Ovis aries: one gene and its partners. The protein of the gene in region 1 interacts with the protein of each later gene in a biochemical or structural test. Links are inferred from orthologs where the notes say so. Each region holds a gene or a part of one and is shown on either strand. Other genes may lie near its edges.

Region 1 (9,033 bases):
GCTGTTGAAAGCCAACATCAAATCTCCTGATTATGAACTTATTTTTAAAAACAGTCAAAAGTCAGAGTGCTGAGTCTCCAAGCTAAGATGGATAATAAATTTTAAACAAACAAACAAAAAAAAGATGGATTAAAAAATTTTGGTTTTGGTCAGAAACTATTTCACAGATAGCATACCCTGAACCAGAATTTATCTTGACAAAACATAATAAATTTACTTTGTCACACTCCACTTCTTTTGAACAACAGAGACCTCAAAATTCAGAATTTCTCAATTAAAACTAGCTACCAGTAGGCAGGACTACATCAGTAGTATCAGTAATAACCAGTAAACAAGTCATCATGGTTCTTCTAGAAGTGATTTGCAAGCATGTTTCCTGGGTCTCATATATATTGAGGCTTTTTACTGCAGACTTCAATGCTTTCTTTCCAGGTGGCATCAGAAATAGCAGTGATTATTTCCCTCAAAGGTGAATTATTCTGTTTAACTTCAGTATTCCTTTCATTAGTCAATAATTTTACACATTGTTATAAAATGTGTAATATTGTGTTATTTTAAAATATAAAACTCTTGGTGTTATTACTGTCTCTGTGTGGTGTTACCACTATCTCTGTGTTTCTTTCTGAAGTTTGTTCATTTACCAAAAGTAACCATCCACCCATCACTCTCATTCTAATTATTCTCAGAGATAACAACCCATTTGAACAAACTAAATTTTTGACTTTCAAAATATCAGTAGGCTTAGAAATGGTTAATTTATTTACCAATCATCACGTTTATCTTTCATACTTACTCTTATTTTGTTGTACCTATCAAAAAGTTTTGGTTTTGACATTTCTTTGTCACTGAAGAAATCTTTTAACATGCCAAAGGTTTTATATGCATATTTCTCTAACTTAGCAGAAGGCTGAATATTAATTCTTTGTTCTAGATAACTGTCATTCATTTTTAAATCTTTACCAAACACAGGTACAAGTTTTTCTATTCTATACAGCAGCCAGTACGAAACTGCCTGGCCAACTCTGAAAAAAAGTACTTCAACAATTTGTCTCGACTACAATCATTTCTTTATATCCACAAGTCAAATTCAGAATCAAACCTATTATTACTGTGTAATTATACCTCTTATAACTAGATTATATTTTTTAAATTAACATTCTTTGTATATAAAAAGTCCAGTTATCTACTTTGTTTATTCATGCACAAAACTACCTCCCTCAGATCAGACTAAGTCCCTTTTAAGAGTTTTAGGCCTCCATTTTCAGATGTTTTGATTTATAGAAAAAACTGAAAAAAAAAATCTAGAAGAACAGTTCCTCTCTTTTGTAAAACCTGTTTAAAAAAAAAAAAAAAAAGAGTTTTAAAAGTCAAATAATTCATAGATGTTACACCATGATCACTTTGTAAACATTTTTTCCAAAGCACAGTAATAGTATTTACTGAATGTCTACCATATACAAGTTGGTGTGCTAGCCACTGTAGAGGCCAAAAAATCCCAGACGAAAACCAGAGGCCTCAGATTGGTGGCCAGCAGAGGTATTATGGCTGGCTTGCACAGAATTAGACTCCAGCATTTCATTAACTTTTTACTTTGAAATTAACTTATAAAGAGAGAAAATTCGTAAACATAAAGAGTTTTCACATATCCTGCACTCAACTTCCTCCAAATTAGCATCTTATAAAACCACAGTACAACTACAGAAACCAGGAAATTAACACTGAAACAGTGCTATTAATTAATCTGTATGCCTCATTTGAATTCCACCAGCCTTCCAAGTAAGATTTTTCCTGGAAAAATATCACTGTATTTTTTCAATGTTTTAGTTAATTACCAACACTTTTTGTAAGTAAGAGATTTCCAGACTTCCCCAGTGGTCAAGACTCCACACTTCCACTAAATGGGGCAAGGGTTCAGTCCCTGGACAGGGAATTAAGATCCTCCATGTTACGTGGAGGGGCCAAAAAAAAAAGTAAAAGATTTCCCATGACATTCTAGATCCCAATGCTCTCATAAAAATATCCAAAGATCTCACTGTGCCAGGCATATATTTCTGGATGGCAACAATAAGCTAGTGTTAAGCCATGGCTGCACCCTTTTGGGAGGGTTCATGCTCTCCCATTTGGCACTCTGATACAGAGATTCTTTTCCTTTATAGTTTATTACAAATGAGTAGTTTCCTGTGCTATACAGGAGGCCCTTGTTGATTTTATATATACAGAGAGAGTAGTGTGTATATGTCAATCCTATCTTCCTAATTTATCCCTCCCCCTTCTTCCTTTTTTGGTAGTGGTTTCTATGCCTGGGGAAAACCACTCTCAATATGAGTAACACCAATGGCTTCTTTCCCAAAACCAGTGGAATTTTTCACACCTGCCACTGGGGCCCACTTCCTCTAACAAATGTTCTAGTTCCTTGGCTTCTCTCTCGGAATTCCTCTTTCCTTTCTAGTGGTTACTTCTCAGATTGGCTCATCCCCAATCATGCCTCTTCTCACTCTTCACTTCTAGTGGGCAACCTCCCTGATGCCAGGGATATTGGATATGTCTTCCTCTTGGACACTTAGCACATCCAAGTCTCTGATACTGGACGTTAAGTGTGCCTTTTGTCTCTAGCTCAGTCTGTAAAGAATCAGCTTGCAATGCAGGAGACCCGGGTTCCATTCCTGGGTCAGGAAGATCCCCTGGAGAAAGAAATGGCAACCCATTCCAGTATTCTTGCCTGGAGAATCCCATGGATAGAAGACCCTGCCAGGTTACAGTCCATGGGGTCGCAAGAGTTGGACAGGACTTAGCAACTAAATCATCACCCCCTAGTCTGCAGTCTCCTTCACAGAACTGTGCAGCAGCTCTGTATCAATCCTCCTAGCCACACATCCATCCCATCCGGCAAACAATGAAGACACTAAGAGTTTCTGTTGAGAAGTCAATGTCAGCAAACTTGACTGAGCCCCTCAAGGACCGCAGCACCCTCATTTGCATGGTATTAAGGACATCAATTTTACATTAATGACTACAAAGTCTGCTAAGTGATGGTTTAGTACAGGCTTTGGAGTCAGACATCTTGGGTTTCCAATACTCATCAGTGTCCCCGTACCAGAGGTGTGACGTTGGACAAGTAAACCTCCCTGAGCCCAGAGTTTTCTCATTGTCAGTGGAGATAAATATGGCAACTGCTCCCTAGGACTGTGAAAAACCTGAAAGACACATATGAAGTCTTTTGAGAGAGCCTTTGAGTAGACTAGGTCTTAGAAACACCTAATGTTGGCAAAAAATAATGACAAAGTTAATATTACTCTTAGTTTGCTAAGCCGCTTCAGTCGTGTCCGACTCTGTGTGACCCCATGGACAGCAGCCCACCAGGCTCCTCTGTCCACAGGATTCTCCAGGCAAGAATACTGGAGCAGGGTGCCATTTCCTTTAGCATCAGGTAAATATCTCCAGCACTTTAATAACTAGATTAAGAGCACTACAGGATTTCCAGGCCTATTATCAGGAAAACACCAAAAATCTCTTTCCGCCACCACTTGGGAACACTCTTCCATCTGTTCATTAACGAAAGACTCTGCTGCTGCTAAGTCACTTCAGTCGTGTCCGACTCTGTGCGACCCCATAGACGGCAGCCCACCAGGCTCCCCCGTCCCTGGGGCTCCCCAGGCAAGAACACTGGAGTGGGTTGCCATTTCCTTCTCCAATGCATGAAAGTGAAAAGTGAAAGGGAGTCGCTCGGTCGCGTCCGACTCTTCGCGATCCCATGGACTGCAGCCTACCAGGCTCCTCCATCCATGGGATTTTCCAGACAAGCGTACTGGAGTGGGGTGCCACTGCCTTCTCCATGAAAGACTCTAAGTCCTTACTATGGCCAAGCCATCTGGCACCGGCTGAGGCCAGTGATACCTCTTGGGCTTAGTCGCTCAGTCCAGTCGGCTCTGTGCGACCCCATGGGCTGCGGCCCGCCAGGCTCCTCTGTCCAAGGGATTCTCCAGCTGAGAACTCGGGAGTGGGTCGCCATGTCCTCCTGCAGTGATACCTTTCGGCCATCCATTAAACCAACTGTCAAACCCCCACCCCCCCCCGTCCACTGACTCACGGAAAAAGGAAAACAGGAACTGCACACCTGGCAGGAAGGCGGAAGGAAAGCGAGTGTCGGCGAAGCAGGGCCGGAGCCGGCGGCCCCGAGAGCTGGAGGGCAAGTCTGGGCGGCGGAGGCGGAGGCGGGGACCCGCCTGAGGAGACCGGCCTAAGGAGCGCGGCCGCGCCAGTCAGGGCCGCCCGGCTCGCACTATGTTCCCGCGCCGGCTCGCGAGACCCGGGAAGAGCCACAGAGGCGGCCCCCTCCCGCGCAGCGTCCCCGGGGGTCGCGCGCACGCGCACGCTCACTCACCGCAGTCCTGGTCGCCGGCCTGCGGCCCGGCGCCGTGCGCGCCAGAAATATGCCTGCCGAGACCTGGCGGGCGCCACCCGTCGCCCCCGCCGTTCGGGGCGGGCCGGAGGCTCCCGCGGCCTTTTAACCGTCTTCCCCACCCCCACCCCGCCCCGCCCCTTCCCCACCCACTCCTCGCTCCCCGCGTCCCGCACTCCTCCCAGCGGTTTGCTTGTGAGCTGGTGCTTTCCTCTGAAGTCTTAGGGGAACTCCAGCGGTAATAACCACACACACTTCCCCTTAATCAGTGGCCTGGCAGACCCACTCGGGGATTTCCATGACCCAGAAAGCGTGACTGTTTCTTAACCGGGGCGGATCGACGTGGCATTTACTGAAATACCTTTACTTCATTGTTCGTGGGTCAGAGGAAATCTTCATAATCTGTGAGAGGGCAAGATGATCATTGGTCAGCCTGACTGGAAAAGGTGCATCTCCCCACGTAATAAAATATTAAACTTTGTGCAAGCTTTCTGATTTATTTTTACTTTTTGTTCTAATTGTAAAGCATAAGTGGAAATGTAGGGGTTTTGTTAAAAAAAAAAATCACAAGATTCTCCTTTTCAATTTATTTTTAGTCTGAAAAAAAAGGTTACCATATTAGTTTAGTGGGGAAAAAAATTGTTTTTTTCTGGTTGATTGGTTATATTTATAACTAGGGTGGAGTTGGCTGTAAAACAAATTCCTCTTTGTAGGCTTCAGTTTCACAGGGGAGATGTCTGCCATGATAGCCTCATAGAAATCTGAAGTCAAGTCTCACTACACATATTTTCCTCAACATTTCCTGCCTAAGGAGTCAATTTAAGCACATTTATCTAAAGACAGTGCATGCCAGGATAACAGATTGGGAAAGCTCACCTGATTTTCCTGCCTTCCAGTAAATCAAGAAAAAGATACCAAGCACTAAAGGCAGAACTGTAATGTTACTTAGTACTTCACTCTCCTGTGGAAACAGGGATGCAGAACAGTCAGGATGAGCTGGGGTATCTTCTGTGTTAGCTGATTTGGCTGTCCATAGCAGATTTCCAGCTGGAACTATATAAAAAAGATTCAGTTTACTTATGTGGAGATTTCGATTCATTTTGAGCCTGCTTAGTTGAAAATTTTATAAGCCATTTTCAACTCTCCTGTGAGATGGTGGAAAAAAATTTTGTGATCTTTATATATATTTATAATCATGTACCCACCAAAATAGTTTTGGAAAACTATATTTCCCTGCACATTTTTAACTTAACATTAAAACACAAAAGTTGTAGTTGCTAAGGAACTACTCAGTTCAGTTAAGTTCAGTCACTCAGTCGTGTCTGACTCTGCGACCCCATGAATCGCAGCACCCCAGGCTTCCCTGTCCATCACCATCTCCCGGAGTTCATTCAGACTCATGTCCATCGAGTCCGTGATGCCATCCAGCCATCTCATCCTCTGTCGTCCCTCTCCTCCTGCCCCCAATCCCTCCCAACATCAGAGTCTTTTCCAATGAGTCAACTCTTCGCATGAGGTGACCATACTGGAGTTTCAGCTTTAGCATCATTCCTTCCAAAGAAATCCCAGGGTTGATCTCCTTCAGAATGGACTGGTTGGATCTCCTTGCAGTCCAAGGGACTCTCAAGAGTCTGCTCCAACACCACAGTTCAAAAGCATCAATTCTTCGGCACTCAGCCTTCTTCACAGTCCAACTCTCACATCCATACATGACCACAGGAAAAACCATAGCCTTGACTAGACGGACCTTAGTCGGCAAAGTAATGTGTCTGCTTTTGAATATGCTATCTAGGTTGCTCATAACTTTTCTTCCAAGGAGTAAGCATCTTTTAATTTCATGGCTGCAGTCACCATCTGCAGTGATTTTGGAGCCCAAAAAAATAAAGTCTGACACTGTTTCTACTGTTTCCCTGTCTATTTCGCATGAAGTGATGGGACCAACTAAATGGATTTAAATCTAGACATTGATGTCTTAGAATAAGATTGATCAACAGTCTTTCAGATATATTCAGTGGACTACAAATACCATTTGATAACCTTCATTATTAATATATCTGTTCATCTTTAATAATTGGAAATACTCTATCATTGCTTTTTGTCCTTGAACATTCTACTTCCCCACAGAATTTTTGTGTTTAAAATGGACATCTTTATGATCCCTCTGGCACAAATTTCTGAAACAAACATGTATAAATTGAAATTTAACTTTTTTCCTGTGATCATAGGCTGTAACTCAAAATTTTCTCCTTGATTACATTATAATTTATATTACTTTCAGTACTTATATTCAAAGTCAGTTGGTCAAAGCAATGTAAACATATGCTGATATAACAATATACTCATAAAAAATGATTCTTTTACAAATGCAATCTTAATGGAGGCTGCAGCTTATATTTGAACAATTTATTCAAGTGTGTGTTCATGAATATTACTTATTAGTAGAATATTATAGAGTTCAGCATAGATTCTCTTCCTTTTTTTAATTTCCATAGAACATTATAGAGTTCAGCATAGATTCTCTTCCTTTTTTTAATTCCCAAAGTTTATGTGTTGAAAAATCTTTTCTACATAAATAGACTGGCCTCCAAAAAATGTTACTTCAATTTTTTCCAAAATTTTTAGTACCAGTTTTATAGCTCCAAAATTATTTAGTAATATTTAATCCTAAAATGCAATTAGGTTTCAATAGACAACTCATTTTGTTGAACTCTGTGACTTGGAAACCACAGGTATTTTACCCAAATAGGACTGCCAGAGTTAGCAATACAGGAAGCCTAGTTACATTTAAATTTGAGACAAACAACAAATAGTTTTTTAGTATAATTATGTACCATGCAATATATTAATCATTGATTAGCTAGAATTAAAATTTAGCTGGGTGATCTGTATTTTATCTGATAACTATACCCAGATATATGGTATCACCAACTTGATCGACATGAGTTTGAGCAAGCTCTGGGAGTTGGTGATGGACAGGGAAGCCTGGTGTGCTGCAGTCCATGGGGTTGCAAAGAGTTGGACACAACTGAGCGACTGAACAGAACTGATACCCAAATATTAAAGTCATTCATTTTTCTCAACATTAACACCAATTACTTCTGACCATTCAGGAATATTTTACACCCTTGGCCAAAATTATATCATTTTAAAATCCAAGATGGGTGAGAGGTGGGCCTGTCTTTTTTTAAGAAGAACCATTGCGAAAAGGTGGGTTGGAAGACAATCCTCGCGCCTCTAACAGCTCTTGTTTTCACTCAGATCTGTTTTAGGAAAAACTACACGTGAAAACTGAGGATCAGGTTGTTAATTTCCTTAAAAGTATTTGAGTTCCCACTTCCCCAAGACTAAATTTTTGTAAATACTTGGTAACTTTGTCCAAGGGAACAGTATCCCAATTTAAAGATCATGGCCTAATAAACACTGAACTATTATTAGTTAATAGGATTCCCACATTCTTCACATTAGTAATGAAAGTTGGGATCAGATCTGTCAGGGCCTAAAGTAGATGAATATGTCTCCTTTGCAAAATTTTGCACAACTTTATTGATTTTTTAAAAGTAATTTAAAGTACTTTTTAAAAAGTAATTTAAAATAATAATTATGATCAAGGACTGTATTTATTTCACTTACTGCATTATTCTAATACTAGAGGGGAACATGCAGACAGGAAGAAAGAAAGTGAAAGTTGCTCAGTCGTTGCCGACTCTTTGCGACTATAGTCCATGGAATTCTCCAGGCCAGAATACTGGAGTGGGTAGCCTTTCCCTTCTCCAGGAGATCTTCCCAACCCAGGGATTGAACCCAGGTCTCCCGCATTCCAGATGAATTCTTTACCAGCTGAGCCACCAGGTGCTCAATAAAGCTTTGTTGATAGACTGACAAAAAGGAAGTCAGTCTATAGGCTTGGGCCTTCTCTAGTCTAAGACAGTGAAGTGAAAGTGTTAGTCACTCAGCCATGTCTGACTCTTTGCAACCCCATGAACTGTAGTTCACCAGGCTCCTCTCTCCATGGAATTCTCTAGGCAAGAATACTGGAGTGGGTAGCCTTTCCCTTCTCCAGGAGATCTTCCCAACCCAGGGACTGAACCCTAGTCTCCTGCATTGCAGGCAGATTCTTTACCATCTGAGCCACCAGAGAAGCCCTTCTCTATTCTAAACCCCCATCCAAATGTTTAATGATGTAACATACCTTATATTTTCCTCTAGCCCACTTTGACTATACCAAATATTTTGTGTAAAAAACCCTTCTCCTCCCAATACCCAACTTTGCTAAATATACTTCTTTCTCCAAATATTCTTTAGGGACAGAAATAAGCAAGGAAATATTTGAGGAAAGTGACAAGCTGGCTATTACTATGTCTAGTTTGCCAGTTTTTCTTCTATTTGCAATGTGCAAACAAGGTATTAGAAGTGTGCTGCAAGAGTTTTCCACCCCATTCCTGGTTTGGACTTTTTATAATTTTTAATAGTGGTGTGTTCTCAACATCCTCTTGTTAACTAATCAACTTAATTTTTTTCTTGAGGGTAACCATGATAACAAACATTCTTTCTCTGGAAGGAACTTCATATATTATTGCTGTAACATCTTCAGATCCAATATAATGCTATATCACTGTAAGTTTTTACATTTTCAA
Region 2 (8,241 bases), on another chromosome or scaffold:
GCTTACCACAAAAAGAATATCTGTTGACAATAGTGTAGTTAGCAATATAACATATTCATGTCCATGCCAAGTGGTACCTAAAGAATTGTCAGCGACAGACATTCTGTACTTTTGACATGTCCTTTATAGTTTACTTCACTTGAAAATTTTGTGCAGATACTACACAATATTTTGTAGCTATCTAAAATGTTCTAATATTTTTAAAAATGGAGACAAAAATATAAGAACAGAAACAATATTTAATGAACAAAAAAGTATAAGGAAAGCTTTGAAGACATTTAGTTTAAATTACTTAGACCTTACACTGTGCCATTTAGGAGCTGACAGAGTGGAATGAGCTCCATCCACCATACCTTTTGTGTTTCAATCGTTTAACTCTTAAAATACTTACAAGCTTTAACAGAAGAAATAATTTCTTTAGTGTTTAGATGTATTTGAGATTAAAAAATTATAGCCCCACTCCAAAAAGGGATGGAGGACTATACAAATCTTTCATATATTACCATAATGAAAGGGTAAACTTAAGAAAAAAAATTAGAAAAGACCAAGAGAAAAAATGGTGCCACGACATGAAGAGCTAAACTGGACTGATTTCTAAAGGCAGTGCAAGATGTTATTCAGTCACTAAGTTGTCCAACTCTTTTACAATCCCATGGACTGCACCCTGCCAGGCTCCTCTGTCCAGGGGACTTCCCAGCAAGAATACTGCAGTGGGTTACCATTTCCTTCTCCAGGGGATCTTCCCAACCCAGGGATTGAACCCAAGTCTTCTGCATTAGAGGCAGATTCTTTACCACTGAGCTACCAGGGAAGCCCCACTCAGAACCGTATTTGACACATAATGGGTGAACCACATGTTAGTATTATTAATGTTTTATACACAGGAATAAACCTCTAAAGCTTACTCTTATTCATACAACACCAACAACACAGAATGCAGTTTGAAGGTCTTTAATCTAAACTTTTAGGTAGTATTAAGACTCTGGGCAACTGTATCCCAGTTACTCTTAATTGCTACTACAAACTCTTATTCCTCTCACTTATCCTCTAAAAGCAAAAACAGTGCTCCAGTTACAACACTGGCTAGGATAATAAACATTACTATGAGAAGGCAAAGAAGGCTGAGTGCCAAAGAATTAATGTTTTCAAATTGTGGTGCTGGAGAAGACACTTGAGAGTCCCTTGGATTGCAAGGAAGTCAAATCAATCAATCCTAAAAGAACTCAACCCTCAATATTCACTGGAAAGACTGATACTGAAGCTGAAGCTTAAATACTTGGACCACCTGATGGGAAGAGGTGACTCACTGGAAAAGACTCTGATGCTGGGAAAGACTGAAGGCCAAAGGAGAAGGAAATTAGACAGCATCGCCTACTCAATGGCCATGAATTTGAGCAAACTCTGGCAGTTAGTGGAGGACAGAGGAGCCTGGCGTGCTGCAGTCCATGGGGTCGCAGAGAGTCCAACACAACTTAGTGAGTGAACAGCAATAGGCTCTTATACCTGAACCATAAACTGCAGACTACTGGGCTAAGCACTGCTGCGAATAGAGCGCGCAGAAAATGCATTCTTAGTTTGTTTATGTGCTCCTTTTACTTCACATTTGTGTTTTGAAACCTTATCTAGAAGAATTAATCAGAATTCCCTTTATCAGTCAATTTAGTTTGGTTTTCACATGGAACTACATTTCTTCCCCTTCTCCATCACAAACATCATATACAAAAGACATGATTCATTAAATCTGGATCTTCCAAAGAAGAGAAAAAGTGAAGAATATGAGAGGGATACAAGTTCTATGGTTTCTTGAGGATCCTGAAATATTTGTCATTCAACAATGAAGACAGAGAATAGGAGCTTTTCATTTCTACACAAGATCTTAACATACATTTTAAAGGTAAAGGATCTTTTTAGTTCAAAACAGATGATAACACAACAAGAATTTATCACATAGCACAGAAAACTATATTCAGTATCTTATAATAACCTATAAAGGCAAATAATCTGAAAAATATATAAAATTGAATCACTTTGCTGTATAACTAAAATATAATACTGTAAATCAACTATACTTCAATTAAAAAAAATTTTTTAAATCAGAGGAAATTAAAACACTTTGCTCATAAAAATCATCACTAATCTTACCACCCTACCAGAATAGTTATTTTCATTTACATAATACTGTCTGTCTCTTTAAAACTATGAAGTTATCATCAGTAAGAAGCTATGAGGAAGAACCTCCAAGCATTCTGGTTTCCACACAGGACTGACAACAGGAGAGAAACCGGACATGGTGCATATAAATGCTTCCTTCACACAAGCCTGTCATGGGTTCATTTGCATTTAAGGTGTACTAATAGATGCTGACCAGCAGACCAACAAGTTGAACATGTTCTTTTTAAAGTAGAAGAGTCTTGATTGATCTTAACTAGTGGTAAAGATTTTTATTTTAGATACTATTAATATGTTTCTGATTATCATTATAGTGAGAAAATTTACTTAAAAAAAAAAAACCAAAAAACTAACAAGGTGTGAGGTTCCATTTAATCTCATCAAGTACTTCAAGAGAATTTTTGTATTTCATTTAAATGGCCCTTTCAAGAAGACAGGTAGATAGGATAACCTAATTATTCATGAGTCACTGAAACTCTTACTTTTAAGGGACATTTATAAAACAAAAAGTAGAGACACACAGGATACATATAAAAGAGTGTCACTAATTTATAAGAACTGTATTAGAAAGATCACAGTTTTGTATGTGCTAAAAGTAACAAAAATTAAAAAAAAACACACAAAGCCAAACTATTTTAAATTCTATTCATGTCAAATAAATACCATGGATACCCTACTCATCAATGAAAAAGAGAAATTAGGGATCGTCATCACCTATTACTTTGCTTGGGTCTTCTCTATCAGGAATGGTTTCTGGACTGAGATGAAGGAAATAAGGTCCAAGGAAGTTGAAAAATTTATATAGTACAAGTCTCAGTTCATTTTACATATATTTCAGGTTTAGTTAGAATACTAGCAAATACCTCCACGGTGCAGAACAGAAAATAGTATTTGTTGACGGTCTGTATGAACATCATGACCTGACCCATAGGAGAGAGGCAAACACAAAAGGTCCCAAGAAACTTGCCACCACCATCCACACCCTCTCGCATTTTAGTATAAAAGCAAAAGCCTGTTCTAGCTTGGGTGTGGTGGTTCTTTGGGACACTAATCCACCATTTTCTTGATCTACTGGCTTTCCAAATAAGGTAGCTATCCCTTGCCCCAACACCTCATCTGTTGATTTACTTGCTCTGTTGTGTGGTAAGCAGTATAAAGTTGGACATGGTGACAAGGACACTTAGGAAAGCAGTCAAAGAAGGACTTTTGTAACACTTGTATGAAAAAAAAGGAGAAAAATGGGCTAACAGTTCTTTTAGGAGTATGCCAAACAAAATGAATGCTTATTCTCCAAAAGTTCTAATTAATAAAAGGCCTGAACTTGACCTGAAGGGAGGTTTTTAGCACCATGTTGCGTAGCTCTGATTTGAGCACTGTAATGGTTAGAATGCCAGAATAAAAACTGTGATAAAACCAAATGCTGGTGAGGGTGCAGAAAAGCTGTGTCTTTCATACCTTGCTGGTGAAATGTATAATGGTGCAGCCACTGCAGAAAATAGGCAGCTACTTAAAAACCTAAACATACTTTACCATATGACCATGCAGTTAAAACTCTTGGGCATTTATCTCAGAGGAATAAAAACTTATGTTTGTTCAAAAAGTTGTATAGGACTATTCAATGGAGCTTTATTTTAACTGCCAAAGGCTAAAAATACCAAATCTCTCTCAATAAGTGAATGGTTAAACAACTCTGGTACACCCACACCATGGAATATTATTCACCAATGAACAAGAAAACAACTCAACACAAGCAAAGACTCCAATGGATCTCAAAGGCCTTACGCTAAATAAACAAAGCTGATCTCAAAATATCATACCCTGTATGATTCCATTGTCAAAACAACAAAATTATAGAAAAGAAAAGCAGATTACTGGGTGACAGCGGTTAGGGATGATGGAGGGAAGGTGAACATGCCTATAAAGGGATAGTGTGAGTGGTATCTTTGTTGTGATAGACTAGTGCTATATCTTGACTGCTGTAATAGTCACAGAAATTTACACCACATAAAGTGAAACAGAACTACAAACTACACATGTGTACTGTACCAATGTCAAATTCCTGGCTTTGAAATGGTACTATAATTATATGTGATGTAACCACTGGCAGAAACTGGGTTAAGGGTACATGAGACTTCTTTACTTTGCAACCACCTAAGAATCTCTAATAATTTCAAAATAAAAAGCAAATAAAGGTATACTTAACAATTTAAATTAAGAATATAATGACTCTGTATCTGAACCGTAGTTTTATGAATATCCGTAGTCTAGGAATAACTAACCCATTGCAGCAGGAAGAAGTGGCACTGAATTAGGGGCCATAGAAAAGGCAGAGATATTAAATTGGCAAGGTACAAAAAGTAACTAAAAGTCTTTAAAACTATTAAACACAAGGATGCAGATAAGCTTTTTTGAAAAACAGTAATTACCTTAACATGAAATTCATTGTCCAGTAAGATGTTTTGAGTCTTCAGGTCATGGTGAAGTAGAGGAGGATTCATATTGTGCAGGTAGTTTACACCTAGAGCAATCTCATGCAGAATACGAAATCTCAATGGCCAAGGAACCTCAGGATATTCGATTTTCTTCATATATATGAAAATAAATAAAACCAAAATCAATGGCCAAATTTATTTCCACTTTGAAAATGAAATATTCCATGAGGAATAGTATAAACTAAATATCTAGTATAACTAAGTTATAGGGCAAAATATACTTAATTTATTATATAGTATCTATTTGACATTCTTTAATATCCTTGGATCTTATTTTCCTTATAGAGAAAATAATGACTTTACAGTACTAATATTTCCTTTTAGTATATACTGGCAATGTCCTACATGGTATCGGGTCTCTCTCCAGTTGAGATAGCTTATTTTTATCTGTAAAACCCAGACACATATATTTATACTCGACATGTCTTCTCATTCCAGGTTGTTGTTCAGTTGCTAAGTCATGTCCCACTACTTGTGAGCCCATGGACTGCAGCATGCCAGTTGCCTCTGTTTTCTATTATCTCCTGGAGTTGGCGTTCAAATTCATGGCCACTGAGTTGTTGATACTATCTAATCATCTCATCTTCTGCCACCCCCTTCTTTTGCCTTCAATCTTTCCCGGCATCAGGGTCTTTGCCTATGAGTTGGCTCTTCCCATCAGATGGTCAAAGTATTTGAGCTTCAGCTTCAGCACTGGTCCTTCCAATGAGTACTCAGGGTTGATTTCTTTTAGGATTTACTGAATTGATCTTCTTGCTGTCTGAGGGACTCTCAAGAGTCTTCTCCAGCACCACAGTTGGAAAGCATCAATTCTTCGGCGCCCACCGTTCTTATAGCCCAACTCTCACATCCCTATGTGACTACTGGAAAAACCATAGCTTTGATTACACGGACCTTTGTAGCAAAGTGATGTCTCTGCCTTTTAATACGGTAAGTTTGTCATAGCCTTCCTTTCAAGGAGTAAGTGTCTTTCAATTTCATGGTTGCAGTTACAGTCCACAGTGAGTTTTGGAGTCCAAGAAAATAAAATCCATCACTGCTTTTACTTTTTTCCCTTGTATTTGCTATGAAGTGATTGGACCAGATGCCATGATCTTAGTTTTTACAATACTGAGTTCCAAGCTAGCTTTTTCACTCACCTTTTCAACTCTCATCAAGAGGCTCTTTAGTTCCTCTTCACTTTCTGCCATTAGGGTGATATCATCCACACGTCTGAGGTTGTTGATTTTTCTCCCAGCAATCTTGATTCCAGCTTGTGCTTCATCCAGCTCAGCACTTCACATGATGTACTCTGCATAGAAGTTAAATAAGCAGGGTGACACTATACAGCTTTGTTGTTGTACTCCTTTCCCAATTTGGAACCAGTCAGTTTTTCCATGATTGGTTCCAAATATTGCCTCTTGGCCCACATACAGGTTTCTCAGGAAACAGGTAAGGTGGTCTGATGACTCCCATCCTCTTTAAGAATTTTCCAGTTTGTTGTGATCCACACATTGAAAGGCTTTAGCATAGTCAATGAAACAGAGATGTTTTTCTGGAATTCCCTTGCTTTCTGCATGATCCAATGAATGTTGGTAATTTGATCTCTGGTTCTTCTTCCTTTACTAAATACAGCTTGTACACTTATAAGCTCTTGGTTCACATACTGCTAAAACGTAGCAGTTTGCAAAAACCTTGAAGGATTTTGAGCATATCCTTGCTAGCATGTGAAATGAGCACAACTGTATGGTAGTTTGAACATTCTTTGGCATTGCCCGTCTTTGACACTGGAATGAAAACTGATGTTTTCCAGTCCTGCAGACACTATGCATTTTCCAAATTTGCTGATATATTGAGTGCAGCACTTTAACAGCATCATCTTTTAGGATTCTAAATAGCTCAGCTGGTATTCCATCACCTCCACTAGGTTTGTTCACAGTAACGCTTCTTAAGGCCCACTTGATTTCATACTCCAAGTCTGGCTCTAGGTGAGTGACCACACCATCATGGTTATCCAGGTCTTTAATATCTTTTTTGTGTAGTTCTGTATACTCTGGCCACCTCTTCTTAATCTCTTCTGCTTCTGGTAGCTCCTTGCCATTTCTGTCCTTTATTGTGCCGTCCTTGCATGAAATGTTTCCCTTGACATCTCCAATTTTCTTGAAGAGATTTCTAGTCTTTCCCATTCTATTGTTCATTTAAGAAGGCCTTCTTATCTCTCCTTGCTATTCTCTGGAACTCTACATTCAGTTGGGTGTATCTTTCCCTTTCTTCCTTGCCTTTCATTTCTCTTCTTCCTCAGCTATTTGTAAAGCCTCCTTGGACAACCACTTTGCCTTCCGGCATCTCCTTTTGGAGATGGCTTTGTTATTGCCTCCTGTACAATGTTACGAACCTCTGTTTATAGTTCTTCAGGCACTCTGTCTACCAGACCTAATCCCTTGAATCTGTTTATCACCTCCACGGTATAAACATAATGGATTTGATTTAGGTTATATCTGAATGGCCTAGTGGTTTTCCCTACTTTCTTCAATTTAAGTCTGAATCTTGCAATAAGGAGCTCGTGATCTGTGCCACAGTCAGCTCCAGGTCTTGTTTGGCTGACTGTATAGAGCTTCTCCACCCTTGGCCACAAAGAACATAATCTTTTTTTTGATATTGACCATCCGGTGATGCCCATGTGTAGAGTTGTCTCTTGGGTTGTTGGAAAAGGCTGTTTGCTACGACCAGCATGTTCTTTTGACAAAACTCTCTTAGCCTTTGCCCTGCTCCATTTTGTATTCCAAGGCCAACCTTGCCTGTTATTCTGGGTTATTTCTTAACTTCCTACTTTGGCATTCCATGTATAATATAGAAACATTACAAATGTAATGCCTTTATTTCCTGGTACTTACAAGTAATAATCATCTGAATTTTCTTAAATGCTTTCCTAACTTAAATATTAATACAGCTTCCCAGGAAGACGAACATACTCAGAAGAAGTAGACAACCATTGGGGAAGAAGGTAGATGAGTGCTCAACCTGTATTTTATGATTCCTTCCAGAAATTAGCAATGCCCCTTAGGAGGCTCTAGAATTTCTACTGGGCTGCAAATTTGGGTACCAGAGTATCTACGGGGGTGCTGGGGTATGGGAGGAAAACATTAGGATCTATGCTTACATTCATTCAAAAAAAGGAAATTGTGTTTTGTATCTTAATTGCTGTGTTGGTTACACAAATCTTACGCACTGACACTAGTCACTTTACTCTGCCCTTGTTTTAGATCGTGCCGTCACAAACAGAATGTGCTGCATCCTAAAATAAAGAGGAAGTCACTCCATGAGTGGTGATAGGGGCAGCCATGCTCCCTCATGTGCTTATAGAACATTGTGATGCACTGGAATTTAGGAGTGTTCAGTGACTGGATTTTACAGATTATGTTACTACTCAGTTTTAACTAAAGCAACCTTCACAAAACAGACCCAGGTATTTAAAAACATTTCTTGAGGGAAACTGTGGGCTAGAGATAATCTTAATAAGGTCAAGCAAACAACAGTAGATGAATACACACATTTTGAGAATAAGGACCTCACCTCCTCAAAGCTGTTTACTAATGGCTTT
Region 3 (6,897 bases), on another chromosome or scaffold:
CCGAATGGACGCTTCCCCATCAAGCACAGTGAAGCTCTGAAGGCCAGGTACCCGCCAAGCTTGTGCGCAGACACCTTCCTCGTCAGGAGCGGAACTGACCCGCCGGCAGTGAGCAGCGACCGCCCCGCGCGCGCCCCCATGACAGGCCACTATCACTTGGACCAGGGGCGCCCACTCTGGGACTGGGGGTCAGAGGTTCATCCAGGGGCTGTCTTCCCTCAGCTGTGTGGGGGTGGGAAGAGGAGAGAAAGGCAGACTCTCGGGCGTCTCCACGGCCTGCACCCCTCGGGGAGCCGGGCCCAGGAGCCCGCATCTCCCGGTCCCCCGGGTGGGTCTCCCGCACGTCCCAGCTCGAGGTCCAGCCCGCGGCTCCGAGGGCTGACGCGGCGCGGACACCGCAGGCTGGCCCCGGAGCCAGGGTCCGGGGTTCAAGCGCGCCTCCTCCCTGGCCTCCGTCCGCACGGACGCCCCACCGAGGCCGAGCGCAGCGCCCCCGCGGCCGCGCCCGGGTCACGGCTTGACGGGCAAGGCCCACTCGCGGCCCCGGCCCGGTCGCTGGCCCCTGGCCCCTGCCCCCTTCCCGCCGCCCCGAGCGCGCGGACGAGGCTATGGGGGCCCCTGGAGGGGAGCGGCGCCATTACCCGAACGCGGCCGCGGGTCCGGCCCGGGGGACTTGGATCCCGGGCTTCAGCGCTGAGAGCAGGAGCCTCAGCCGCCGCGCGGCCCGACCGCCCAGCGTTGCCGCCATGGTGGGTGCAAATGACGGCCGGGGAGGGCGCATGCGCCGCGTCTCCCGGAGCCCGTGAGCGCGCACCGCCGCCAGCACGCATGCGCCCGGCCATCGGCCGCCCCGAGTTCGCCCCCTTCCGCCCCGAGTTCGCCCCCTTCCGCCCCGAGCACGCATGCGCGGGGCGGTCTGGGCTCTGAGCTGGGGCGCGGGGTTTCCAGGCGATCCCTCGCCCACCTGTGTGCGCGGTTCCCGGGGCACCGGCACAGAGCGTCTCCCCTGAGTGTCAGCTCTAGCCTAACGGGGGCCGGCGTCTCGCCCTCGCGGAGGGGTGGGCTCGGGGCCGCCAGCCTGACAGCTGGAGGGGACTGGGGTTCGCTGTGTGCGTTCTTACACCGGCCCACACCCGTGAGGGCCCCTGCTCTCGGGGATCCCGGAGATCAGGGCGGGCCAGCGGCGGCTGGAGAGCGGTGCGGGCGGGGGCCCGGGTCTCGAGAGCTAAGCCGCAGGGAGCCTCCGATGAATCCCGCAGACAGGCCGGGGCTCCCGCTTCTCGGCGCTGTGGCGGGAGCAGAGGGGGGCGCCGGGTGCGGAGGATGGGGGCTGTGTCCGCGTGGGGTCCCTGGCCGCCCCCGGGGCGGGGGAGCGGCGAGCACCGCAGGCTTGGTCGTAAATGGAGCCGCGTGTGAGTCCAGATCAGTGAGGCCCGTGCGGCCCAGGTGTTCGGAAGCAGGTGGGTGTCGGGCTGGGCCGGAGGCAGGGTTAGTGTCCAGTGGGGGCAGAGCCTCAGTTTTGCAGGAACGTGGCAGAAACAGTGTGAATGTGTTTAGGGCTGTACACTTAAAGACGGTTAAGATGGCAAATTTTACGTGTATTTCACCACTGTTGAGTGTGTGTGCTTCTTACGACCAGTTCAGTCTTCAGAGAGTATAAACAGTATTTGCAGCTGAAGGTTCCACAGGGAAAATGAAAAACAATACCCTTTGATTGTGGCTGCTCTCTCCCTTAACAGAAAACAACCGCACATCGGTGGCTGCTGTTTAGCCTTGTCTTGATTTGGAGATTCCAGCAGCTTCCTTGCATCTTATATTACTTCTCCTGGAGACCCTTTCATTGTAACAATCCTCTATGCACAGTGCTTCCTGGTGTTACAGCCATGAGAAGTTGTATTACCAGCAGTGTCCTCCCTGACCAGTGGGAGTTTCTTGGCAGTAAAGGGAGGTTTGATTTAAATACTATATAAAAGTATATATATATTATATACTATAATACTATACTATATACTATATATGTCTTTTCAACATAAAGCTGTCACATCAGTTTCCTACACAGAAGGAAAGAGAAATATGTAATGTTCCAGCTACTGTTGTTTGACTTTCAGAATCTGAAGTGGGGTCAACATTTCCTTATTTTTTTTTATGAAATGTTGATTGGGATTTCTTGTCAGAGATGATGAGGGGTTAAAAATAATTGTACAATTTTAATACCAGTTATCCTACTGGTCAGCAAAAATGGTAGTGCTGAGGTCTTAGGCTACTGGTGTCAACTAATAAAAACCTACTTATAACACAGGGAACTCAACAGTCTATAATGACCTAAAGAATCTATAAAAGAATATAAAAAAGAGTGGATATATGTTTAACAGTCACTTTGCTGTACTCCTGAAACTAATGAAGCATAAATCAACTAGACTCCAATAAAGACTAATTCTAAAAATACTATTTTTAGGGACTTCCCTGGTAGTCCAGTGGTTAAGATTGTGGCTTCCAACGCAAAGGGGTGTGGGTTCAACCCGTGATTGCAGAGATAGGATCCCACATGCCTCTACACCAAAACATAAAAACAGAAGCAATATTGTAACAAATTCAATAAAGACTTCAAACATGGTCTACATCAAAAAACATCTTAAATAACTTTTTTGCGCCAGGCACCTAAAATGAGATGCATCATCTTATTTTAATCCTCACACCTACCTTATGTCCTAGCACCCTATTTATAGATGAGGCAACTGAGGCCGGGAAAGGTCAGGAAGCAGGCCCCAGGTGCACGGCCAGAGTGTAACTTGTGCCTGCTTGATTTCAGAGGCCTGCGTCTGGATTATACCATAGAACTGGTCCTTCAGTGATGTCTTTGTAATCAGATGCTTCTAACACCTTGACCGTATACAGACCTATTTACATGATTACTGTAACTAGAAAAGCTTTTTAAACTATTTAAAATGTGTTGTGAGAAATAACTCCTTTTCGTGTTGCTGAAGATTTAACTTCATCGTCTGGACCCACAGCAATTATCGCAACAGCGACAAGTGGGGACTCTGCTGAGCAGGGTCTGCGGTCTGGGAGTGGGTCTCACTTAGGAGTATCCACCTCAGGGTCTTCATACCTTTCTCAGAGCCAAGAACAGGTTGCCTTGTTTCTCGTATTGTAGTCTGTGTCGTCCCACTTCGTTGATTCCTGCCCAAGACGAGTGTTTTTGTGGCGTTTGGGCCTAATATCGAAACTCCTCAGATGTAAACTTGGCCCTCTTCGTCCAGTAGTTAGACCGTGGGGGCTGAAGGAAAGGCCCCTGAGCTGGGTGTGCGAGACTGCAGTGCTTACTCTCAGGCCCGTGGGTTTCATCTTGAAAGTCAAAATGCAATGTCAGGAAAGCTCTTTTCTCCCTAGCTCCCCGATCTCTCCTGCCAGTAGCTGGGGGTCACCATGGAGAATCTCACACTGTTTCGTTTATACAAACACATAATTTCAGTGGTTTCCATTTGAGGTACAAAATTTTATTTTAATTAGTCCATTAAAATATTGTCTGCTGTCTCTGACACTGATTAGTTAACCTGTTTGGAATTTAGAGAGCAGTGGTCACAAGGGATGCATCTGGGAAAGGAATCACCCCGCCCCCTCCTGCAGCTGGGGACCATCTCCCCCTCCAGTTTTCCGCTATCCGACTGAATGAGAACTTTTATTTTTCACTTTGGTTATAACAGGTGCTTATGTGGAGAAGGCAGTGTAAAATTAGAAAGCTGATTTAGGTTATAGACTCCAAATTTTTCTTTTTCTTCCTTGCTCAATCAAAACTCCCAGAAACCAGAATGAATAGCATGAAGATTATGGGATCATATGAAAGAAAAAAATGATCTTTCTCAACTCTCTCTTCTCTCCTTTTCGAAGCCCAATTAGGCTTCTTGTTGGGTTGGGCCTTGGCCACAAATAGGTGGTCCTGCGTCCGGCGCAGTGGGTGGTTTGCTGGCGATTCCCTTTTCCATCCTCCAGCTGTGAAAGGTAGGAGGTGACTTTGACACAGACGCAGCACCCCCTGTATCCGGGAGAAGAGAAGTCCGAGTCTCCGCAGGCAGCAGGCTTTCGCCGGGGGGAAGGCGGCCCCTGCCGCAGGAGCGCCTGTGGGCTCAGTTCTGGCTGACGCGGATCAAGCAGTTGACCAGGTCTATCCGTGAGCACAGGTACAGCGCAAAGGCCAGCTTCCCCACGGTGGCCCCCTTGCTGCCTTCCCGCATCAGCCACTTTTGGAGCATCTGGTAAACCTTTTCTTTCAGTCCATCTCGCTCGTAGTCGTGGTCGATTTCATCGATCTGAGATTCAGAGAAGCCCAGCTTACGGGCGCAGTTCTTCCAGTGTCTTCCCAGATTCTCCCTGACCGGGTCCAGGTGTTTGTCAGTCAGACTAGTAGTAGTATCTGCCGAACAGAAAAGAGAAGGCATTGAGCTGTGGCCACGTGAACACTCTGGCTTCAAACACCGGCATAAAGTACAGAGTCCCAGGAGTCAGTAAAAGAGGTAGCTCCCCCATGGTCTGGCTGCGGCTCCCCGGACGCTCCTCGCCTGTCTACCAGCCCACGCGAGGACCGGCTTCCTCCTGGGAGCTGCCCCCTTGGCCGCTAGGCTGTTCCGGACCAGCTGACCACAGCCCCTGTTTACACCTTCCTGACGTCAAGGGGGAAAACACCATTCTTGTTCCTTTTGGGCCTTGTTCTGCTTCCATCTGGCCAGAGTTAAGGTCACTCAACTCAGGAAACCGTCGGCCAGCCGTGCGTGTTCCTCTCACTTGGTCCCGGACACGGAGGCCACCGGCGGGAACTCTGGCTGCGCTGTCTTTTCACCGGTGCGGCATTTCTGGGCTCATCCCTCCCCTGCCCCACTCAGTCCTCCTTTCTCCTAGAGCCGTAACCTCTCTCTCCCTACTGGTTCCTTCCTCTCAGGCCTTCGTAAAAATAATAAAATGAAGCAAAGAGAAGTATAAAATCACCACAAACAAGCCATATTCCGTGATGTTCAGTAAGCGGAATAATAGAAACACCTCGTCCCCCCCGGCAGAACGCCCATCTTTCCTCGGCTCCCACAGTGCAGCTCTGACCATCACCAGATGTCAGCCTCCCGGCCAGAGTCTGCCAATGCTTCACCAGGAGAGGGGCCCTGGGCTCCAGCAGGTTCTCAAAGGCACCCTGTCAGCCCAGACCTTAGGAACCTCTGCTCTAGTGAATTAAAGACTGGCTTTGAGAGGGTTAGATGGGGCAACCACTCCAGTATTCTTGCCTGGAAAATCCCATGGACGGAGGAGCCTGGTAGGCTACAGTCCATGGGGTCGCAGAGTCTCACACGACTGAGCGACTTCACTTTCACTTTGGCCACCTATGGCCTGTGAGCCACACGTGGCCCGCTGCTCGTTTTGTAAAGTGAAAGAAAGTGAAAGTGAAGTCGCTCAGTCATGTCCGACTCTTTGGGACCCGGTGGACTGTAGCCTGGCTCTGTCCAGACTCCTCCGCCCATGAGATTCTCCAGGCAAGAATATTGGAGTGGGTTGCCATCTCCTTCTCCAGGGGATCTTCCCGATCCAGGGATCAAACCCAGGTCTCCCGCATTGCAGGCAGACGCTTTAACCTCTCAGCCACACAAAGTTCTATTAGAATGTGGCCACACCCATCCGTGCACCTACTGCCTGGGGCTGCTGGCGTGCTGGGGGTCAGCTGCGCCACGTGCTCTGCTCAGTCGCATCCGACTCTGTGGCCCCAGGACTGCAGCCCACCAGGCTCCCCTGTCCATGGGGATTCTCCAGGGAAGAAGACTGGAGTGGTCGTCCAGGGGATCTCCCCACCCCAGGGCTCCAGCCCACGTCTCCCACTGTGGGAGGATTCTGTACCATCTGAGCGACCAGGGAAGCCCACATGGAGGCAGTGTCAGCTGAGCGGCTGCAACAGAGACGGCAGGGCCAGCGGAGCCAGAAACGCTTGCTCTCAGGCCCTTGATTAAAAAAAGAGAATGCCAGTCCTGGGGTGGATTAGAAAGCTGGGTTCTTAAATCGCACTGTTTCCCCCAGGTTGTGTTTTGGGATTAATGTTATGAGGCTGTATAGTGGAATCCCATAAGAGAAAGCCCTCTAATTTTTATTATGCAAGTGCAGCTGAGGGCATAGTCTTCTGTCCTTTACGGAATCCTTCTGACGAGGACCTGATGGGCTCCTGGGTCCGGGTGGCCATATTGACGATGATGATGTGTTTAACACTTTTCTATCTTACCATGTGCCAGACAGTGTATAAGCCCTTTGTTTGTGTTGACTAATTTCACTTTCATAGCAAACCCATGAATTAGATATTCTAATTATGGCCTCAGCACACATAAATAAGTTACAAAGCACGTCCACGGAAATTACATGAGGAGCAATAGGGCCTCTTCAGGGAGAGTCATCAGAGAAATAATCAGGTGAGAAAGTTCAAGGTTGCTGTAGGATGAGCCCTTCAAGGGCAGCTTACCAAAGATGGCTTGGTACTTAGAAGCCGGCTCTTCTTTCAAGTTCATGTACATGCTGTCGAGTACTGATGAACTCATTCCACCAATCTCCATGTAATTGCTGTCGCCGATCTGAATGCCAGAACTGTTGTGTATGGTATATTTCACAGACTCATCTAATTAGAAAGAAACACAGAGATAAGTAGTATATCTAGACTGCAAGGAAGAGAAAAAAGGACAGCCTGGTAAAGGGGCAGGACTGCTTAAGTTAAATAATTCATCCTACGCCACCACTTGAAATTTTCTTCTTTAAAAGTTGGCTGAATCATCTCACATCCATTAGGCTGGAAACTATCAAAAATACAGAAAACAACCCGTGTCAGCGAGGATGTGGGGAAGCGAACCTCTGTGGGCGGCTAGTGGGAATATAAACAGATGC
Region 4 (7,498 bases), on another chromosome or scaffold:
GAAAAGAGAAACCGTGCTAAGTATTATTTCAACAGAGATAATTTAATATAGAAAGTTGATCAAATAGGTGTTGGGCTGAAAAAAAGCCTACTAGGGGAATACACGGAGAAGGCAATGGCAGCCCACTCCAGTATTCTTGCCTAGAAAATCCATGGGCGGAGGAGCCTGGTGGGCTGCAGTCCATGGGGTCGCTAGGAGTTGGACACCACTGAGCGACTTCACTTTCACTTTTCACTTTCATGCATTGGAGAAGGAAATGGCAACCCACTCCAGTGTTCTTGCCTGGAGAATCCCAGGGACGGGGAACCTGGTGGGCCGCCATCTGTGGGGTCGCACAGGGTCGGACACAACTGAAGCGACTTAGCAGCAGCAGCAGGGGAACACAGATAACACTAAAAAATAACTACGGCCTGGGTCTGGAAGGCTGAGTCAGGGGACGCTAGGACCACTGAAACCTATCACTTGGAAGACAGGCACCCTCTGCTGTTGGTCCCTGTGGGGCCCACAGAGCTGGTTGGAGGAGCCCCGAAAGGCCAGGGGCTTAGCCCAGAGACAGCTCTCACTGCCAAGACGGGGCCTCGGGCCAGAGTGACCCTGATGGGAACAGAAAGCAAAGGGGAAGGAAAGAGGGCCTCCTTTTGCCTTTTTATTTTTTATTGCGATTGTGCAGTCGGCTCAGCAACTTAAGTCTTCAGCTGCACGGTATTCAGGTGGCACTGTGATTGCCTTCAGCTGCGCGGCATTCAGGTGGCACTGTGATTGAAGTCAAGAAACGAACAATTAGCGCTGCCGCCCGAGGGCCTGTGGCTCGTGTAGATGCCCTGACTGACAGGAACAGAGTTTTTGTGCAGAGGAAGTCTGTCTTGCCTGGTCCGGAGTGGGCCGGGCAGGTGCTGGGTAGTGAGCTCCAAGCCCACCGTCCCTGCTCAGCTCTGGATCCTGGCGCTGGCATCTGTGAGCTGCATGTTTCCTCTGTCAGCCGGCTTCCTGTCGGGCGCCAGGGGAGGATGCAGCAGAGAGCCTGAGAGGCAGAGAGGAAGCCTTGTTCCTTCCTGCTTGCCTCTGCTCTGTCTGCGCCACTCTGGTGATTGCCCTTCATCCTGGCCTCAGCACTGGGTCCCGGCCTCCAGCTTTTGGGGGTTCCTCCAACTTTTGGGGGCACCCCCAGCATCAGCCTCACAGCAGCCCCTCCTCAGAGACCTGGGTTCAGCTCTGGAACCCTCTTCCTCAGAGCCTCTGGATCTGATCAGCTACAGCTTTCTTCCTTTGTCCCCCAGCCTTCATGGGGGCAAAAGGCAATAATCCTAAACTAACACAAAGGTAGTATCTGCTCCCTGCGGTCATTACCTCTGTGTTTGTTCAGGTTCCTCTTTCAAAACTTTCTTCAGTCCAGTAATAGGTTTAACCGATTTCCTATATTAAATTCTTTGTTAAAATACCTAGTGTGGTGTCTTTTTTCCCAAACTTTTCCCTGATTTTCAAATCCCCTAGCAGAAATCTGGGGTTAATCATCCCCAGATTGACCGTGAGCAGTGGTTTGACGTGTCTTCTCCCACGCCTCCTGTACATTGCTGCCTGTCCGTGGCCTCTGTCATGGGGGTCCTCTCGGGCTGCACCCCGTCTCCCGTTGAGAGGCCCAGCCTTTATTCTGACAGCACGTGCCCCTTGCACGCTGAGCGCACCTGCCATGTAACTAGCATCCGAGCTGAGCAGTGGTTGACCAGTGCTCCTGACGTCATCTTCTTTATGCTAATTGAGATTTTGTGCTGTGCTTTGCATATTTTTGCAGCCAGTACCTTTTTCACTTTCTCATGTCTCATATGTCTTAAAAACACTTTTAAAAGATTGAAGTTTTGCCATTTCCATCTATGTGGATGGACCCAGGGGGGGTTATGCTTAGTGAAATAAGTTAGAGGCAAATACTGTATGTTACCACTTTTACCTGGAATCTAAAAAATAAATGAATGTAGAACAGAAATAGACAGATACAGAGAACAGACTGGTGTTACCAGTAGGGGGAGAGAAGGGAGGAGGGGCAAAGAGGGATGGGGGATTGAGAGAGACACTACCATGAATGAAAATAAATAGCTACAAGAGTATATTGATTAGCACAGGGGATGTAGCCAATAGTTTATAATAACTTTAAATGGAGTATCATCTGCAAAAATACTGAGTCACTGTTGTATACCAGGAACTAATACTGTCAACTGTATTGCAATATAAATAGATAAATAAGCAAACATTCATTGTATACTACTTCCAGATTTACAGAAAAGTTGCAATGTTCATTCATTCAATAAACAGATGAGTACCAGTTCGGTTGAGGCCCCTGCCCGCCTTGTTCCGAGATTAGTGAGGGGTGTCTGGCGGGTGACTGGGCGTCAGTCTTCAAATGAGGGGTCCCGAGAACTCTGAGGGGAAGATGCATGGGAGCTGAGCTGCGAGGCTCAGAGCAGCAGCTGGTATGAGCACCCCAAGGAGAGGACTCAGTGTGTCTGAAGAGTGTGACGAGGAGGCCGGAGGGGCGGGATGAGGAAGGAGAAGCAACGGAGAGGAGGGCAGGGCCGCATGGGGTCCAGTCCAGGAACCGGGCCCCCCTTTCTCGGGTCTCCAGGAAGCCACTGGAGGGGTGAGGCCACAGGCACAGTTTCCAGGGCTGTCTGGGGAGCAGGTGCTAGGGGCGCGAGAGAAGGCAGAGGCCTGGGGTCATCTGGAGGAGGCGCACAGTAGAGGAAGGTTGGGTGAGTGTGCATCCCTTCTGATGCCTGGGATGAGGAGTGAGGGAAAAGGGAGTCATGGCTGGCTGCCAGTTTGCTCTAACTGCCGGATGGTGCTCCTGCTTACCAGGGAAGAAGGCAGGTGGGGGGAAATCCTGAGTTGAGCTTTTGTTACAGCTTGGGGTCCCTGTGAAGTGGATGTGGTATGGGACTATTATGCATTCTGGATCTTAAAATATATGTTCCAGTTTTTAAGCTAGGGACAGGCCACTATTTTAGACGGAATGTTTTCAAGCCTTTTAATCATCCTTCTTAATGTGCTCCCCCCAAAGGCCGCTAGATGTCACTGTTCACACGGCCGTTTCTTGTGCAGCACGGGGTGCAGAGGGCACAGGGCGCGGGTGAGGGCCCCGGAGGAGGCCGGTCTCCCTGCAAAGGGGGCCAGTCTGACCGGGAGGTGTCAGCCGCGGTTTGGTGTGGTCTTCAGATACGCAGATGATGATAACGCAGCTTCACGTGAGAAAACCGTGCACAGCCTTCTGATTAACATGCTGCTTGAACTGGGTCTCGAAGGCTATGAGGTGGTCCGAGTGGGGGTTCAGCACTTTAGGCAGAAGGAACCGCCTGGAGAAGGCGGCGCACTCCACTGCTCACCGGGCAGAAGTGACAAGGGAGCCATCCCCGGGCATGAGGCGGGACTCGGTGTTTCTTAGTGGAGGCTCGGTTGGCGCTCGGAGAAGGACCGTTTCTCCTGGGCAGGTCTGGCGTCCTCGGCCCCCTCCCCCCACACACCTCCTCGATGCCGGGTGGTCCTAAAGGCAGCAGGGACGGAGTGCCTGTGGCTGAGATCCCTTCCCAGAGCGCGGCCCCGGTGGTGAGGAGTGGAAGGCAACCCTGTGTCTGTGCCCACCCTGATCTTGTGCTTGAGTTCAAAGTCCTCTAGAGTTGCTTGTTCTTTACTCTGTACATGATGGTATCTAGTGCCTTGGCTGATGATCCCAGCATGAGTAGACATCAGTGTGACTTCCCAGAATGAAGGATGCCTCTTACACGTCATTTTCCAGAGTGTAGACAAATGAACAGAAAAGCCAAGTCCATCTGATTGGGCCTAATGATGCCACCCTAAGACTTCAGTGACACTGGCTTAAATTTCCTGGCTTCTTTATATTCCCCCAAAGCCAGGATGCATAGGCGCTGGTGCAGGGACTGATTACGACTAACTTAGCAAACAGCGAGTAGACTCTGAATGGTGGCAGCAGACACACCAGCTCTGCATGGGGAATAAATGGGGTTTCAGAAGTTGTGCAGTTTTTTAATTCTTTGTAATTGCCTGACATGGCTATGCCTTCTATTTTTTTTCCAGACAATTTATGAAAACCGAATATACAGCCTTAAAATAGAATGTGGACCTAAATACCCAGAAGCACCCCCCTTTGTAAGATTTGTAACAAAAATTAATATGAATGGAGTTAATAGTTCTAATGGAGTGGTAAGTTGTTTCTGCTGCCCCTCCTTGTCCCCTGGGGGTCCCCCAGATTCTTTGTGCTCGAATGTCAGGGGCACTTGGGGCCTGATTGCATTTGTTCCTTGGTTACTGGATGATGACATGTACCGCAGGACACACACGTGCTGTTTTGGAGGGAGGGCCTGTTTCCCAGTTGTGTTTCAGCACAACTTGTATGGCGTTGGCTCTGGGCTGTTATCACTCAGCCTGTGCCGGTCACTTTGAGAGGAGCGCTCCTTCAGCCTTCCTGCTACACCCCCAAGAGGTAGAGGCAAGGAAATGGAGGCAGAGAGGGAAAAGACCGCCCCAACGCCACGCTTCTCCCCACGGGCCTTATTTCTGCACCATGGACATATAATACTTTCTCCTTGTAATGGCCTTGCTTTCTTATTTTTGCCACTGTTTTCACTGCCGTGAATGGAGACCAGTCTCATCTGCCGTAAGCAGGTGCTGGTGGTGACACCACAGTAAACGCTGTAAAAGCAGAGCAGGGGCAGCCGACGGCCCCGTGCCGCGCGCCAAAGGCGCTCGAGCCTCTGAGGCCCACCTGATGTCCTAAACCCAGGAGAAGTTCCTGCTTGGAGGCGTTTCTCCAGGGGGGCACTGCACTGACTTGAGGGGGGTGGCTCGGACAGGCTCTGGTCTGCTGTTGCCTCACTCTCCCTACTGCCCTGAGCGGTGGCCACCACCTGGGTGCAGAGTGGGCAGGACAGGCCCTGAACATCACCTGCCACCTGGGCACAGTGGGGAGGAGAGGCCCTGAGCATCGCTCGCCACCTGGGCACAGAGTGGGTAGCACAGGCCCTGAGCATCGCCCGCCACCTGGGCACAGAGTGGGGAGGACAGGCCCTGGGCGGTGGCCGCAGCTCGCCCAGCAGGCGGGGCCGTCGTTTCACAGCCAGCTGAGCCTCACCAGGCGTTGGTGCCTCATCTGTAAAGGCGGCTTTTACTTGCCCTTAATTCCCTCCTTCCAGGCCATGAGGGTTCCCAAACAAGGGCAAAGCAGACCAGCGGGAGGGAGGGAACCCCGTGGGCATTCCGCGTGTCAGTCCTGCTGGGTGACCAGCATGTTCCACCTGAAAAATGCTTCTCACTCACTTTTCTGCTGTAGCTTAGCTCCAGCACACAGCTTTCCTTTTGTTTGAGAGCCTGACAGTAATTTGTTTTATCTTTGCCTTTCTATAGGTGGACCCAAGAGCCATATCAGTGCTAGCAAAATGGCAGAATTCGTATAGCATCAAAGTTGTCCTGCAAGAGCTTCGGCGCCTAATGATGTCTAAAGAAAATATGAAACTTCCTCAGCCGCCTGAAGGACAGTGTTACAGCAATTAATCAAAAAGAAAAACCACAGGTCCTCCCCTGCCCCCATTCGATTTAAGCAGTCTTCATTTTCCACAGTAGTAAATTTTCTAGATTCGTCTTGTAGACCTCAAAGTACTGGAAAGAAAGCTCCCATTCAAAGGCAGTTTATCTTAAGATACTGTAAATGATACTAATTTTTTGTCCATTTGAAATATATAAGTTGTGCTATAACAAATCATCCTGTCAAGTGTAACCACTGTCCACATAGTTGAACTTCTGGGATCAAGAAAGTGATATTTAAATTGATTCCCATCCTAACCGGTGGGGCACGTCTAACTCAACTGTGAAAAGACACATCACACAGCCACCTTGCTGCTGATTCCACGGCCTGGGGTCTCTGCCTTCCCCCCTCCCCACTCCCTGCAACAGCCCTCCAGCTAGGCGTGGCTTGTTAGAGTAGGCGTGAAGGTTTCAGGTCACAGCCTGGGGGACACTGCTGGCGTGTGGGCTGCTCTGTCCGCATCCCTGGTCTCTCTCTAAGTCTTAAGTGACGCCCCTCTTCCAAGCCATCAATCCTCCTCCCCCCCCCCCCCACCCTCCACTGCCGCCCTTGGCCGAGGCATAGATTGTAACCCCTCTGCTCCCCTCTGAAATTGGCCTTTGGTGAGGAATTCAGGGCTTTCCCCGTATCTTCTCCCCCCACCTAAATCGAGGGGTGCTGCTTTTTCCTTCCTCCTCCTCAAGTCCCTTTCTGCACCACCAACACCCAACACTTCCCATGACGCTTCCTTGCTTTGGCCGGAAGCCATCAGGTAAGGTTGGAAAGAGTCTCTGACCTCCCCTCATTTAGTCTTGGAACCACAATTTACTCTCCACCAGCCTGGGAAACGAATATTGGGTTCTCAGCCTTGCCACCCTCTGCTGTCATCGTCAGCTGATGCGTTTCTTTAGCTCAGGTTTCGATAAGGTGAAAAGAACAGTCACCAGGGTTACTCAGGCCTGCCAGCTCGCGGCCTCCTTGGTGGTTAAACTTGGAGGAAGGCCACTTGGAAGCACACACGACCCCTCGGAATGAATTGTCCTTTTCCTGTAGAGGCTTTGGCTTTCTAACATGGAAGAAGCTTTACACAGGGCTCTCACTGGGCCATCCTTTGAGTCCACTCGGGTCTGGTTCGGAAGCTGACAACTGGAGCGAAAAGAGCCTTGAATCCGGTGCATACTTTGGTTTGGGTGCTGCTGCTTCTCCCGGCCCTCAGCAGGGGTCACGAAAGACCTCGGTGTGCACGGCAGACCCCCGAAATTCCTGGCGAATCGCTGCATTTTTCCACTTTTCTGTTCAGGACCACTAAATGCTGAGATGTGGATGCCTACCGAAATAAAATCAATTCATTGTGCTCCAAGGGTTTTTTTTTTTTTTTTCAGTGTCTGTGTAAAACCACCTTTTGAAGCAGCAACTATCAAGTCTGAAAAGCAATTGATGTTTCCATTAATCTTTTTCTGGAGGAAACCTTAGTTCTAAGGGTTTAACATCCTGTAAGTAAAGTTTAACATAACAGTATTCCATAAGCAGTCTTTTTATTGTCAGACCATTGCCTGATTTTAATATAATAAAAAGAAGTGTGCGTTAATATTTAAGAAGCTGTGCTCTTCTTCCTCAGCATATAATTTATTCAGGATTAGAATTGAATGTCTTAGATGCTTTGGTGTTCAATTTGACTTCCAAAAGCAGGGGTTGGGGAACTTTTTCTACAGTGGGTTCAAATTAGTAAACATTTAGGCTTTTTTTTTCCATCTGGCTTGTGAGATCTTGGGTTGTACCCAGGCCCTCAGCAGTGAGGGCAGAATCCTAACCATTCTTCAGCCAGAGAATCCCCAACTGTTTAAGCTTTATTGGCCAAGAGGCAAAATCAAAGAAATTATGTGTGTGTTTATTTAACGAGAAAACAAAATTTCCACAACTTTTGGATGAAATTCA

Evidence for each region.
Region 2: the proteins of BIRC3 (region 1) and RIPK2 form a complex in vitro, tested with the Homo sapiens proteins (2 studies listed by BioGRID, with this or other methods). The link is inferred for Ovis aries from reciprocal best matches to the Homo sapiens genes BIRC3 and RIPK2.
Region 3: of the proteins of BIRC3 (region 1) and RIPK1, one has a biochemical effect on the other in vitro, tested with the Homo sapiens proteins (5 studies listed by BioGRID, with this or other methods). The link is inferred for Ovis aries from reciprocal best matches to the Homo sapiens genes BIRC3 and RIPK1.
Region 4: the proteins of BIRC3 (region 1) and UBE2V1 form a complex in vitro, tested with the Homo sapiens proteins (2 studies listed by BioGRID). The link is inferred for Ovis aries from reciprocal best matches to the Homo sapiens genes BIRC3 and UBE2V1.

What each region holds. Positions count from the first base shown.
Region 1 is NC_056068.1:6,091,268-6,100,300, forward strand, and holds the start of BIRC3 (baculoviral IAP repeat-containing protein 3), read right to left. Parts: upstream 4,480-9,033; 5' UTR 4,088-4,479; intron 1,333-4,087; 5' UTR 1-1,332. UniProt on the Homo sapiens protein: Multi-functional protein which regulates not only caspases and apoptosis, but also modulates inflammatory signaling and immunity, mitogenic kinase signaling and cell proliferation, as well as cell invasion and metastasis.
Region 2 is NC_056062.1:86,817,923-86,826,163, forward strand, and holds part of RIPK2 (receptor-interacting serine/threonine-protein kinase 2), read right to left. Parts: intron 4,752-8,241; coding exon 4,596-4,751; intron 1-4,595.
Region 3 is NC_056073.1:49,669,201-49,676,097, forward strand, and holds the end of RIPK1 (receptor-interacting serine/threonine-protein kinase 1), read right to left. Parts: intron 6,635-6,897; coding exon 6,482-6,634; intron 4,412-6,481; coding exon 4,125-4,411; 3' UTR 3,476-4,124; downstream 1-3,475. Other genes in the region: BPHL (valacyclovir hydrolase), read right to left, coding at 642-748. UniProt on the Homo sapiens protein: Serine-threonine kinase which is a key regulator of TNF-mediated apoptosis, necroptosis and inflammatory pathways.
Region 4 is NC_056066.1:78,130,985-78,138,482, reverse strand, and holds the end of UBE2V1 (ubiquitin-conjugating enzyme E2 variant 1), read left to right. Parts: intron 1-4,080; coding exon 4,081-4,206; intron 4,207-5,406; coding exon 5,407-5,553; 3' UTR 5,554-7,158; downstream 7,159-7,498. UniProt on the Homo sapiens protein: Has no ubiquitin ligase activity on its own. The UBE2V1-UBE2N heterodimer catalyzes the synthesis of non-canonical poly-ubiquitin chains that are linked through Lys-63.